Macaca fascicularis: one gene and its partner. Each later gene encodes a partner of the first gene's protein in a complex. Links are inferred from orthologs where the notes say so. Each region holds a gene or a part of one and is shown on either strand. Other genes may lie near its edges.

Region 1 (6,794 bases):
TTAGGAAAACTTAGGTCTCTCTTTACTTACTCAGTTTCCCATATTCAGGTAGATTTTAAAATTCTCCTTTCTTCCTCTCATTTCTTTTTCCTCTTCCCATTCTTCTCTCTCTCTTCCCATTCCTTGCTTCTTTTCCTTTCACTTCTCTCTCTCCATAAGTCCACTGACTTCCAAAGGCCCAGGATTGAATAGGAGCCTGCTCTATATCCATTGTATGCATGGAGTCATCACTCCGTGCATACATGCACACGCATCAAAACTCTTAGGGCAGTGGTCCAGGGGCAGGGGCCTGTTTCTGGCTTCCCCTTCCACTTTGTTTGAAGATAAATGCTTACGTATTTGCTGCTCTTCCGCGAATGTAGAAACAGAATAAACAGAAACACTGTGCACAAAGCACTTTGACTGGTGCTGATAATGCGGAGGTGATTAAGACTCCTGCCTTGAAAGAGTTCATGTCTATGTGGGGTGACAAACGCATAAGCAGAACATTTCCTTGCTTTTGGGGAATTTAAGTAAGAGATTGGTACACATGTGAATGAGGCCCTCAGCCCTTGTTGATGTCTTCTTATCTTTGTCAGCACAAGTATATCTCCATCGCAGATGTGCAGATCAAGAATGAAGAGGAGCTGGAGAAGTGCCCTATGTCTTTGGTGAGCCAAGGAGGTCCTGCACAGGAGAAGAGTAGAAGAAAATCTGTCTTCAGTGTTGTCACAGAGCATGTGTGCATGCATTCATTTCAGCATATTAGGCTCTAACTGTGTTCCAGGCAAGACAAGGTCCCTACTTTCATGATATATTGAAGTTGAGGAAGAAAGATAAAAAACAAAAAGTTAAGTAAACCAAACTATCAAAGAATGGTAAATACAATGAAGAAAATTTAAACAGGATAACATGAAAGAAGCATTGGTAGACTACTAAGATTGGGCAGCCAGTAGGTGGACCTCTGAGAAGGTGACATTTAAGCCAAGATCTGAGGGACAGGGAGCCAGCCATAGGAACATCAGAGGAAAGAGCATTCCAAACAGAGAGAACAGCCTTAGCAAGGGGAAAGCAGGTTTAGAGTGTCAGAGGTAGTGAAAGAAGGCTCTTGTGGCTAGAACACAGGGCCGAGGGCCGGGATCCTACAGATAGAGTCAGAGAGGTGGCCTAAGGCCACTTTGCCAAGAGCCTGTAAGCAAAAGTAGAGAGCTTGAAGTAGACTCACAGTCAAAGGGAAGGAAGCCTTTGGAGATTTTAAGCAGGGGAGTGATATGATCTGATTTATGTTTCTAAAAACATTAGCTTCTGTGTAAAGATTGGACCAGAAAAGTGTAGACCCACTCCAGGGAGATTAGTTAGGAAACCCTTGAAATAGTCAAGGTGAGAGATGATGCCGACCTGGATTTGGAGATGTAGCTGACAAGACTTGCAGTGCATTTAGATGTGGTTAGAGAGGCAAAGAAAGGAATCAAGAATAAGTACCATTTGCCAGGATGTGGGGGGAATATCAAGAGTTCTGTTTTGGTCATACTAAGTTTTAGATGCCCATTAGATACCCATGTGGAGCTGCAGGCAATTGGAAATACAAGTCTAAAATTCTAGGGAGAGGGCTGACTTTGAGAAATAAATTCGGAAGTTGTTTGTAACACTTATAGGCAGTGTTAAAGGCCATAGAACTGACTGAGATAACCCAGGGAGGGAGTAGAGACAGAAGAGAATGGAAGGCAGGACAAAGTCCTGGGGCACACCAGTATGTTGAGGTGGGCATGTGTCAGGAAAGGAGCCAGAAGAGTACGAAAGACAGTGAAGTGGCTGGAAATCCAGGAGATTATGATATCATAAAAGCTAAGAAAGTCTTTCAAGAAAAAAGGAGTGATCTGCTGGGTAAAATGCTACTAATAAGTGGCATTATGGTAAGAACCAAGGTGCCCATTGGATTTGGCAACATGAAGATAATGACCTTGATAAGAGCAACTGTAAGTGAAGTAGTGGGACTGAAAGCCTAATTGGTATGTATTGAAGGGAATGTCAAAAAAGGAGGTAGATGATATAAAAGTTTTGTGAAGAGGAGAGAAAGTGGATGGTAGCTGAAGGAGAATGTGAGGTCAAGGGGAGGATGTTTTATAGCTGAGAGATACTAGAACATTTTTTTTTGTCCTAAAATAAATGATCCAAGAGGGGATAATTGCAGGACTGAGGCATTCAACAAAGCAAATGGGTGTGGGATCCTGAGCACAAGTAGGAGACTGGCCTTTGTTCGAGCACAGGCGGTTCATCCTTCATGTTAAGAAGGAAGGAATAAGACTCTTTGTAGATGTAGTGTTGAGAAGATGAGTGTGTGCCTGTCTGAGTGCTTCTGTTTTCTCCATGAAGCGTGAGGCAGGATCAGCAACTGTTTAGGCATGGTGGGCAAAGGAGTTGGTTTGAGGAGAGGGAAGATGGTTTGAAATCGGCCTTTTGGAGAGCAGGAAGGCAAACATGCCAGGATTGCCAGGCTCCGCTGAATGTCCATTTAGGACTTATATCCATTTAAGCAGCAGATGAGTTGTGTGGGACAGAAGGAGGCTGGTTATTCTTCCCTGGCTCAGGGTCTCATGGTAGTGAACCCTTGCCCTGTAATAGAGAGACCTTGTAGGAGGAAGGAAACTGCATTGGTCAAAGATGACAGTGGCCTGAGCAGCCTATTGGGTCCCTGAGGCCCCAGCCTCCTCACTCTGATAAAAGGCTTAGTTAATGTCATCAATAGGACAGAGATAGTTATATATGAGGGGGCTGGTCAGAAAGGAGAAAGTGATGTAGGGGTGAATGGAGAGGGGAAGAAAATCATTTCCATCCACTTAAAAGCTTCTTTGCTGATATTCCTTCCTATTTCACCAGGCCATATGTTACCCAACTTCCTTTTAAACCCTCACTATTGAGCCACCTACCTCTCCTTCCAGGCTTACAGAATGTTCTAGAGTTCTCAGCCTCAGATCAACACTATAGGAAGTGCTTCTGTAGCATCTGTTCCAGTTTCCCAGGTCCTGAGAGGTCATCCAGGCCAACCTGATGGTCCTATTGAAGAGAAAACTAGGACTCAGAGAAGGAATGTGACTTATCCAAGGTCATACAGTGAGTCATTAACACAGCTAGGGTAGAAACCTAGATCTGACTCCCAGCTTAGTGCTCTTTTCAGGTCACCCCTCACAACCAAGAAAATAAAGCCTTTGGTCACCTGGAAAGTGGCATTGGCAAACCATGTATTTCTTGCCATAGGGGGAAGAGGTGGTACCAGAGACGCCATGTGAAATCCTCTACCAGGGAATGCTGTACAGCCTCCCTCAGTATATGGTAAGGAGATGGTTAGGCCAGAGCTGCCCTTCTCTGCTACAAGGAACAGACAGCTAAAAACCATTTCAAGCGGACCTGTCCAACACTTGAACTTGTTTTCTGAGCCTTTGTGCCTTTGGCAAGGCATTCTCTGACACGTGAAAATTCTGAGCTTTCCTCAGTGCTCCTCTGATGGTGCTGTTCTCCCTAGTCCTTCTTTGGGAAGGGTGGGGAATAAGTTGGGGTCTCTACAGGATACACTGGGGACCCACCCTCCTCCGAGATAAGTACTGTAGTCCCTCTGAGATCTGCTGTGGTCTGTCATGTACTAGATAGCCTCAGGCTGGGAGTGGGGAAGATACCAATGGTTCGGGTTAGAGGAAAGAAAAGAGTGGGAGAAGTTGGGCTTATGCCTCCCACCTTATTTCTACACACTGTCCCTCTCACTCTGTTCCTTCCATCCTCCCCTTTGAAAAGAACAGTCTTTTTTTTTTTTTAAGTGGAGTCTCACTCTGTCGCCCAGACTGGAGTGCAGTGGTGCGATCTCGGCCCACTGCAACCTCCACCTCCCAGGTTCAAGTGATTCTCCTGCCTTAGCCTCCCGAATAGCTGGGATTACAGGCATGCGCCACCACACCAGCTAATTTTTGTATTTTTAGTAGAGACGGGGTTTTACCATGTTGGCCAGGCTGATCTTGAACTTTCGACCTCAAGTGATCTGCCTGTCTTGGCCTCCAAAAGTGCTGGGATTACAGGCATCAGCCACCATGCCAGGCCCTGGAAAGAACAGTCTTAAAGCAGAACAGCCAATGCACTCCCTCTGGCTTTCTCCTTAGCCTCACAGGCAGGCCTCTCAGGACTGGGCACCTGTTTGCTCTTCTGGACGCTGGGGAGATATGGTCATTGAGGGAAGAACTTGGAGAATGGCTTTAAAACACTTTTTATAGGGCAGTTAGGGTGCAGAAGAATCACTCCCTTGCTGAGTGGATTTGACAGTGGTGAATTTCTTTATTTCTACTTCCCAGATCGCTCTGCTTAAGATTCTGCTGGCTGCAGCTCCCACCTCCAAGGCTAAGACAGACTCTATCAATATCCTGGCAGATGTCCTACCTGAGGAGATGCCGTGAGTGCTTCAACGGGGGCAGCTGCTGGATACTAGCTGTCTTGTCTGCAGGCTCTCTCTAGTCCCCACTCACCTTGTTAACACTTACAGAGATTGTCTCCAAAGAGATCTCCTCCTCTCTGCCCACCAGTACTCCCTTCCCCCTTCAGGGCTTTCTGCTTTGCTCTTTTTAGCTCAAAACTCAGGATCTGGAGGGTGACACCAGTGTCAGCGACTGGCTGCCCAGGTATTTGGGTGAACATTGCCAAGGGATGAGCTTGCCAAAAGAGAGATAGAAACAAAGAACTCAATGGAGCATTTCTTCAGACAGGCTCATAAGTGGGAACTCTGGAGGTTTCCCTGGCACAGAAGTTCAAGTTTCCCAAGTTCTGGTTCTCTTGTGTATATTATATCACACCCAAATACCTGGATCCCTGCAGGGCTCCCTTTTAGGCCACTTTCTGCGCTAATACCTTCTCTCGCCATTGTAGCATCACTGTTCTCCAGAGCATGAAGCTGGGCATCGATGTGAACAGGCACAAGGAGATTATTGTAAAGAGTATCTCTACCCTGCTTCTGCTACTCCTCAAACACTTCAAACTCAACCATATTTACCAGGTGAGCAGCTAGGAGCACTTCTCCACAGGTCTTGGGTGTTTCCCAGGCCCGATCTCTCAAAGGAAGGGTGCGAGGGCCCTTTTAGTTCTGATGAGCATCTTCCAGCCTTTTCTTTGTTCTCCCTCAGGGAATCCAGACACCCACTGCATGAGTTTGGGATAGGGTTATGGAGTGGGAACTGTCCTAGAAAGGTGCAGATGTCTGTGTCCCTTGTAAGTTATCCCAGGGTTGTGGGTAGGAATCTCTAGCTTCTCAGGAATATGCCCAGCCAGTTTTTTTTTTTTTTTTTTTTTTGAGACGGAGTCTCGCTCTGTCGCCCAGCCCAGGCTGGAGTGCAGTGGCGCGATCTCGGCTCACTGCAAGCTCCGCCTCCCGGGTTCACGCCATTCTCCTGCCTCAGCCTCCCGAGTAGCTGGGACTACAGGCGCCCACAACCGCGCCCGGCTAATTTTTTGTATTTTTAGTAGAGACGGGGTTTCACCGTGGTCTCGATCTCCTGACCTTGTGATCCGCCCGCCTTGGCCTCCCAAAGTGCTGGGATTACAGGCGTGAGCCACCGTGACTGGCCTGCCCAGCCAGTTTTTAAAACAATGCAAGAGAGAATGTAAGCATTTCACAAAAATGGGGGGGAAGGTATATTGACCATAGTTTTCTATATGTGAAGCACTTTTCCAACATTTGAGATATAATTCTGAGAATAAGGCACAGTTCTGGCTCTTCAAGGCCTTGAAATCTTATAAAGGATACAGATACATAAGTAGCCAATTATAGAGAGATAAGTGTGCTGATACCGATAAGCACTGGTTGCTATGGAAACACCTAATCCACCTTGAGATGGAGAAGAAATGACTTCTAACCTGAGTCCTAAAAAAACAGATGTTAGCCAGGATATGGGAATTGTTAGGGAAGGAGGACAGGAGGTATTTCAAGCAAAAAAGCTGATATGCAAAACTCCAGAGGGGGAAGAGAGAGCAAAGTACCTTTAAAAACCGTTATTAAATGTTGCTGGAGTTCTGCCTGGGGTGGGAAAAGATGGGCGTGGTCTGGTGACACATGAAGCTGGAGGAATCGGCAGGGAGCATATCATAATCTATATGCTAGCACACAATTACTGAGCACCTATCCTGTGCCTAGCACCCTGTTAAGCTTGTCTAGGTCCTCATTTAATTCTCTCCACCCTATGAAGTAGTCTTATTTAATACCTCTTTTATAGATGACGAAATCAAAGCTAAGAAAAGTTAAGAAGCTGCTTTCCCATAAAACATTGTTTGCTATGCTAAGGAGATTGGACTTGGTTTCATGGGCATTGCCAAGATATAGGGACAAGATGGGGACAGCAAATGGATGCTGTCTGTGAGGAGACCATGGAGAAAAGAGGAATGCTTCTCATTCTTGCCCAGAGGCTCTACCCCATTTTCCTCCTATGAAGTCAGAATCAAGCTTGCTGGTAGAAAAGCAGGTCCTCAGAGTACAGAGAGGCTTCTGCAGGGTCTATGTCCATGGCCTTATCAACCAGAGTATTTCCACTTTCATGCATTCAAAGACATCATTGGGTGTGTTTGGTTGCCCTGAGTGCTCCCACTTTTGCCAGTGTTTGCTGAGCAGCAGCAGGGCTGGGAGGAGTAGGGGTAGGTAGGAGATAGTGTTTCTAGTGGAAAGAGAACAGAGAACTGTGGATGTGTGTTTACTTCTGCTTTTCTTGGTGGGAAGCGTGTGGATTCACAGCCAGACAGGTGGATGGCTTGATGGGCCTTGCCAGTGTGTGTCAGTGAATCCTGACAAGGCC
Region 2 (6,894 bases), on another chromosome or scaffold:
TAACTCAGGACTATTGACCTTACTCTATGCCATACTGTGGTACAACAAATGACTGCGGAATTTGTTTTCAAGACCAAAACCTAACACGATTTATCACTAAAATTCAGTTTGCATGTTTTAAAAAATGATCTTTTTATGCTTAAGTCTCCAGGTTTAAAGCAAATAAGATTCACTTAAGTATTAGAAAAATTTTTAGGAATCCCAAAATATAAGTTCCTTTGAAACAAAAACTACTCAATTTTACAAAGCCACCTTGTCTAAATTAAGTGATATTAAAGGTATAATTCATAGGAAGATAGCAAAGTTAAAAAGCAAGAAACAAAACAAAAAAGCAAAGAAAAAGGAAGAATTATGGATTTTAGAATATGGAGACAGATGTGGATTCTAACCATGGTTCCAGTACCTACATTTTGGAAACTCTAGCAATTTAAACTTTTTTTAGTTTAATAAGTAAATTTACTTATTTTCTTGATGTCTTCAGCTATAAAACAGTGTTAATAATACTACCTAGAGGAAATAAAGGTTTTTAGGGCAAAATGAGGTAACATTAGGGAAGAAGAGTCCATTAGAAGTTTCTTCCATGTCTGTATTTTGTCATAATGAACATCGCTTGCAAAAAGCAGGACAGTGATCTCTAAAATGCTGCGTTACACAGCAATTTTGCTGTAAATGAAAGTGATTCCTTTGTCATTTCCATCTAGAAAATTAAACCTGATTTCAGAGACCTCCAAAAAGAACAAACATTTTTCTACAATTTATATTAAAATTCTGTCAATGACTCCTTTGCATATAACCTAAATTGCCTAAGCATTATGGCTCATTTGAAAGTTCTTATATACTTCAATCCAGAAAGCATATCTGGTTTATTCATTTCTCTATTTCTGTCCCCAGAGAAGTGCCGGAAGCATTGTGCATGAATACACTCCTTCATTCATTCAGCAAATATTTACTGAACCCTTATATTGTGCCAGGTACTACGTAAGTAGTGGGGTAGGGTAACACATGACAAATGAGAGGGCCCTGCTCAGGAAGCTCATAGTCCAGTGAGGAGACAATATTTGTCAAATAAATACAGAAATAATTAAGTTTCTATTATCATAATGCCACAAAGGAGTACAGAGTATGGTGAATACATGGCGGGAACCTATTCTGGTTTTGGGAAGGAGGGCAAGGCTCCCCCAAGAAAGAATATTTAAATTGAGATATGAAAACTGACTATCAGGTAGCCACATTTAGGTAGGCCAAGGAGTGAGATGGAATATGCAATGGCCACCAAGTCAGGAAGGAGCTTATGTATGTAGTAACCAAAAGGCATGGTAAATGAGAAAGGCTGGGGATAAGGACGGAGAGTTGGATAGGAGAAGAGATAAATTTTTAGTGTTAAACAGAGTAAGAAAGTAATAGTATTTGAATATTTAAGTCACATTGTCTTTTTCTCATGTAAATCTAAGGGAACTAAGTCTTTACTCCACAATATTAAAGATCTGTAGTCAGAAGATCTCGATTTTTATCTTACTCCCACCAGTTACAAGTCACTTAACCAACCTGAGCTTCTTCATTCTCTTCGTAAATATTACCTTACCTACTGAGACTACAATAATAAACAGCCCCTATTCTTACAGACCTTACATCCTTAAGAGAAAGAGACAGATGTATAATATATGGAAGACATCCCAAGTCCTATAAGAAATTACATCCAAAAGCTGATATAAGGCTCCTGCAAAGCCCAGCATGAGAATAAATGAAGACACTGGTGAGCTGCAAACTACATGTATACACATAACTCCGTGAACTCTTAACTATCCAACGTGCAGAGATCTAAAGTGACAACAATACTGCAGCATGTGATTGAAAGATGATTAAAAACAATACAAACATTAATCCACCATCCCAATAGAAGAAATATCAAAACTATAATTGGCCTCAGACATAGAGTAGTGGCAGAAATGAACCAAGAACAAAATCTAAAATACACTGAACAAATGCATTATATTATTTCCAAAATTTCCTCATAGTTCAAAACCTCTTTCGATAATGACAGAGTTATGTGCCAAAGGTTAGAATTTATTTCATACCTCCTTCAACAAAAGGCAAATACTTACATTGTCATCTAGAAAATACATTAATATTCTTCCTTTACCATCACTGACTCATGTTCAGTTTATGGTCTATTTACACCACCGCACCCTTCTTAATCCAGCACAAAGTCAGTTATCCTCACATAATTTTCCATTTGTTTAACTGGGTCTTCCTTGTCTGTGTACTACATTACTCATGGTACATTATTCCTGATTTTACTTCATTCTATAATAGCATACTTTTTCTATTTTAAAAATCGTATTAATTTCCAGACCATCTTAATTTCAACCATCAGGTAAGAGAATACCTCTACTCCAAAAAAATATTTTTGCATTAAAAAGTTACTATATTGTTGATAATATAGTAACTGCAGAGTACATTCAAAATTCAGCATAGTCTGATGATCAACTTATACATAATACAGTAAGCTATGATTTATTACATGTTAAGAGTAAGCCATGATTTATTACATGCTAACCTTTATGGATATAAAGTTATCACAAAGAAATTCTGGCATCAATGAACATACTCTTACAATTCTATTAAAAACCTATCCAATAATAATAGTCATGAGCTATAACTGGTCATAATAGAGGATAAAATTTGCATAAGGGCACTATTTTCTGCAAGAGATAAAATGTAAGTGTACTGTTTTTTCATTCTTTAATGTAAAGTAAGAATGAATTGAAAGTCACAGATGATTCTAAGAAAAATAAAAATATGTAACAGCCTAATTCTATTATTTGCAGACACACACACAAATACAGCCTAAAGTCAAGAAAATGGGGGAGAAGTAAAATCTCAAACAAAAAAGACGATGTTACCTCCAAGAAATGCAAAGTACTTTCTTTTCTAGTAACGGGCACACTAAACTCTCCTAACATTATTTGAAAAAAGTTTAAAGTTTTGTGAAAGAATTCCAATCCAACTAGTATCAGTTTTACAAAATGAGAGTAAAAATAGTCCTAAAGTAGAAAAAGAAAAGAATGTTCTTCTAAGGATGGATATTAACTGTTGTTCTCCCATCCTATTACCTACCCTTAAAAATGAACTGTGAGAGTAGAGTCTATCATTTAATACATCCCTAAAAAAGAGGGGGAAATCTGTAAAAGTTAACACTGACCCTTTTTTTCCCAAAAGGTTCTTTCCTTTATTGAGGAATTTCACTCCAGTTCAAGAAACAACTTTTCATCTCACAATGGCTTCTTAGATGTACTACATAAAATACATTTACTTTGCAACTTCCTCCACTCTTTTCAAAAAGCACAACCAACGTCCCTACTCCAGAAGCTGAACTCGAACAGGACTAGATTCAGAAAGTCTGTCCCTACGTGTGTGACCTTGGGCACGTCATATAATCCCTCGGTTTCCTCATCAGCATCCCAAAATGAAAGCGCTCTGAAAGCAGTAAAGGAGTAAAAACATACTTGGGTATGACACCTACGAGGGTCAAGCCTTTCTGTTTAAGGCAAAATTACCTCCTTAGAGGGCCACATCATTAAACTGGAACTGAATCCGTAGACCTCAACATTTGTCTCTTCCTTCTTCCAGTGCTCCCCTTCCCTCAAAGGGCATAACCCGAGTCACCCCCGACAGCAGACTGCCCAGCACCCTTTCCTTCCTCCTCCCTTTCTCTTATTTACAAAGCAGGGGGAAAAGAGCAGCCTCACCTCTCCGTGCGAAGCCACACCTTCAAAGGACCCCACCCCAGGCACATCCGCCCTCTCCCCTCTCCCGGGGCACCAGGGGCCAACCTCGCCCTTCCCCTCCCGCCCCCACCTAGAGGAGACTTCCTGGAGGCGTTCGGGCCCAAGCCGGCAGGCGGCATTTACAAACCCGCTTTACGCCACTCGCGTAGGGTAACCTCGCTTACGCCCGTAGGGCCCCGCTCTCAGCCCCGTCCGCTCCGCCTGCCAGAATCAAGCCCGAGTGCCTCAGCCATGGCCCCTGCGTGACCCTAGACCTCTTCTGCTCGGTGCAGAGCTATGGGGACTGGGACAGAACAGCTACACCTTACCAGCAACTGAGGCACTGACTTCACTTCCCACCTTTGCAGCCCTCTTCAACTCCCGGATCAATTCACTCCGGCGACGCCGGAAGGACCCGAGAGGAACCAGGCGTTGTCCGGAATCCTGCCCAGCCGGAGTCGCGCAGAGGCCTATGGGGACTCGTAGTCCCGCTCGCCAACGTTGTCCGGAATTCCTGCACTCGGAAGACTACACTTCCCGGCAGGCCGTGCGGGAGATCCTGAGGCGATGGGTGGGGACACTTCTAGCCAATACTAGGAGAGTTCCCTGCCTTTGCGGGAGGAGGTGAGATGAAGAGAGATGGTGCACGGAAGGGAGAGGAAGGGCGGGGCAAGCCCTCACCTGCGCCAATCAGGGTGCCGGGTAGGCCCCGCAGGCGCCTCACCCATTGAGGGGGCGGGCTGACAGAGCAGAGGAAGGAAGGGGGTGAGGGGCCCGTGGTGGGGATCGTGGGGTTGTCGGGCTGAGTATGCCGTACGGGTGGAGAGGAAGCCTCGGGGAAATCACCCGGGTGAAGGGAGGGCTTGGTGTGGGGACTTGCACAGGGCGGAGGAGCAGCTAAGCCCCGGGCACATCGGGCAACCAGACCCACGCGTCGGGGAGAGATAGGCTGAGCCGGGGCTCCCAGCAGAGACGCCTGGGTGGGGCAGGAGACCGCTCCAGGTGTGAGCCACAGAGGAGGGGAGAGGGACCCCCAGGGGAGGGGAAGTGGCAGAGCAGCTGCAGAAGTGCGGGGAGCGGGAAGGTACACCGGCAGCTGCTTTCCGCTGCCTCCGGCCCGGGCAGCTGCAAAAACAGCAGGGGGAGGAGCAACAGCTGCCAAATTCGCCAACTAGAGGAGGGAGAGGCGGAGCTTGGGTCCCTGTAGAAGCCAGAGGCGCAGTCTGGACTGTAGTTTCCCGGGAGAGACGAAAGCAGGAACGAGAGCGGAGCGGAGCACAGTCCTCCGAGCACCAGCTCCAGCATCCCGTCAGGGGTTGCAGGTGTGTGGGAGGTAAGCGTGGGTCCTTCTTCGGGGCGTCTGCATTGCCCTGGAGAAAACGTGTTCCAATAGGAATTACATCAAGATACAGCTAAAAGAGTCCGCCTTGGGTTAGGAAACCGGTGTAAACCCTCTCGGGTGAAAGATTTACATTTTTGGACTGTAAGGGCAAAAAAGCAAAAAGAAGCTTGACTCTGGGTATAAAGGGCGTGGTTAGTGTTTTTGGTTCGAGTTACACCAGTAAAACTGTTCTGGGGGGATCTCAAGATTGAGAAAAACCCTGCTAATTGAGGACGAGGTGGATGTTATCTGGTGGATGTTATAGGTGCGTAGCGTATAAAAAGCAAAAATTTTGCTATTGATATAGAATGACTTCTGAACTATTTCACTAGGAAGATAACTTTGCGTTCTTCTTCAGTGTCTACCTTTATGTTGGTTTATCAGATTGTTCTGCTACCGACCTGTTATCCAGGGTGGTTATTCTGCAGTTTCATAGAATTGCAAGAAATCCGTATTAAAGAAGCAAATGCAGGCAGGAATAGTCAGGATAGGATGGGCTCTGACTTAATCTATCAAAAGTATAACTTTTGCCAGCAATAATGTAAAAATGAATTTTAATGAATGGATAGTTAGCTTTCTTTCCAGTGGCTCTGGAATATTGGAACAAAGACCTGGATTCAGCCTACAGTGGGAACATATGGTGTACCTCACTGCTGCTCCTTATTCTCTCATTTGTGTCCGATAATATGTGTACATTTTAAAATCAAGAGTACATGGAAAGCTGTGTGGGAATCTTTTCTCTGGGTAGAAAGTATGTGCTGAAGGACTATCCTTAATATGTGTTATGATGGTGGGTTCAGATTTAAAACACATGTAGTGTCACAAAATAATAGTTTATTCTCGGTATTAAACCATATGTGTATTCAAAGCAACGTAATTGTAATACCTATGGATGGAAATATGTTGTAATGCTGGGTAAAGATGAAAGTCTCACCTACCTTTGTGTAATTATGACAAAATTACAGCCTTTTATTTTTAGAGAAGTAGTAAGAAGCTATTTTCCTAGTTCATTTTCATTTTGTTACAGAGGTTCCCAGATTACATGGCTTTTAATCATAGTAGCATATTGCAGCAAATTTTGCTCTGAAATGCTTTCATTGTGACAGTTGTATATTTCAGAGTCTGTCTCAATACTTTAATCTATGTTTTTTTAATAACCAGGGTCAATAAAATGGAGTAATTGCCTTGTTTTCTCCTATTTCTGTGCTCTCCTGAGTTCTCGGGATTTTACATTTTATTTTTGTAATGCATGCCAGATTTCTCTTTGAAAAGAAATGGCTCAAATGAATTCTCTTCCCAGCTTAAAGTTCAGTCCTACTGCGTGCTACTACCGGTAAGCCTAAGTGACTTATCAGTGTATATACTCTTCCCTCCCACACTCTCACATACCATAGAAATATATAGACAGATAGCTCTTAGAAAAACAGCTGCTTTTTGATTATCCCTAGCAGATCAGCTAAGTATCAAAAACAGCAAAGAGCTTAGAAGAAAGAAAAAGCAACAGTAGCTGCTAAACTTAAGCACTGTAAGGATCAGATTTTATCTTTGCTACAGCACTGGAGAATCTATTAATTCACATAGCTGATATGGCCCTGTGAAAATGATGTTGGGGTTAAAAAAAATAAAAGTGGGTATTAGGGTGACACCTGGAAAAGATTGTTTGCCCTTGTTATTTGTGATTAAGTGAATTGTCTTGAATCAGTCTTAGATCCTTTCTCAGACTCTACTACTAATTCGTTTTGTAAA

What was found.
Region 2: STRIP2 (region 1) and PDCD10 share a complex: the UniProt entries of both Homo sapiens proteins name them as parts of the core of STRIPAK complex. The link is inferred for Macaca fascicularis from reciprocal best matches to the Homo sapiens genes STRIP2 and PDCD10.

Annotation. Positions count from the first base shown.
Region 1 is NC_088377.1:170,929,881-170,936,674, forward strand, and holds part of STRIP2 (striatin-interacting protein 2), read left to right. Parts: intron 1-578; coding exon 579-650; intron 651-3,234; coding exon 3,235-3,309; intron 3,310-4,313; coding exon 4,314-4,411; intron 4,412-4,881; coding exon 4,882-5,008; intron 5,009-6,794. UniProt on the Homo sapiens protein: Plays a role in the regulation of cell morphology and cytoskeletal organization. Required in the control of cell shape. Calmodulin-binding scaffolding protein which is the center of the striatin-interacting phosphatase and kinase (STRIPAK) complexes.
Region 2 is NC_088376.1:79,122,173-79,129,066, forward strand, and holds the start of PDCD10 (programmed cell death protein 10), read right to left. Parts: upstream 4,185-6,894; 5' UTR 3,558-4,184; intron 1-3,557. UniProt on the Homo sapiens protein: Promotes cell proliferation. Modulates apoptotic pathways. Increases mitogen-activated protein kinase activity and STK26 activity. Important for cell migration, and for normal structure and assembly of the Golgi complex.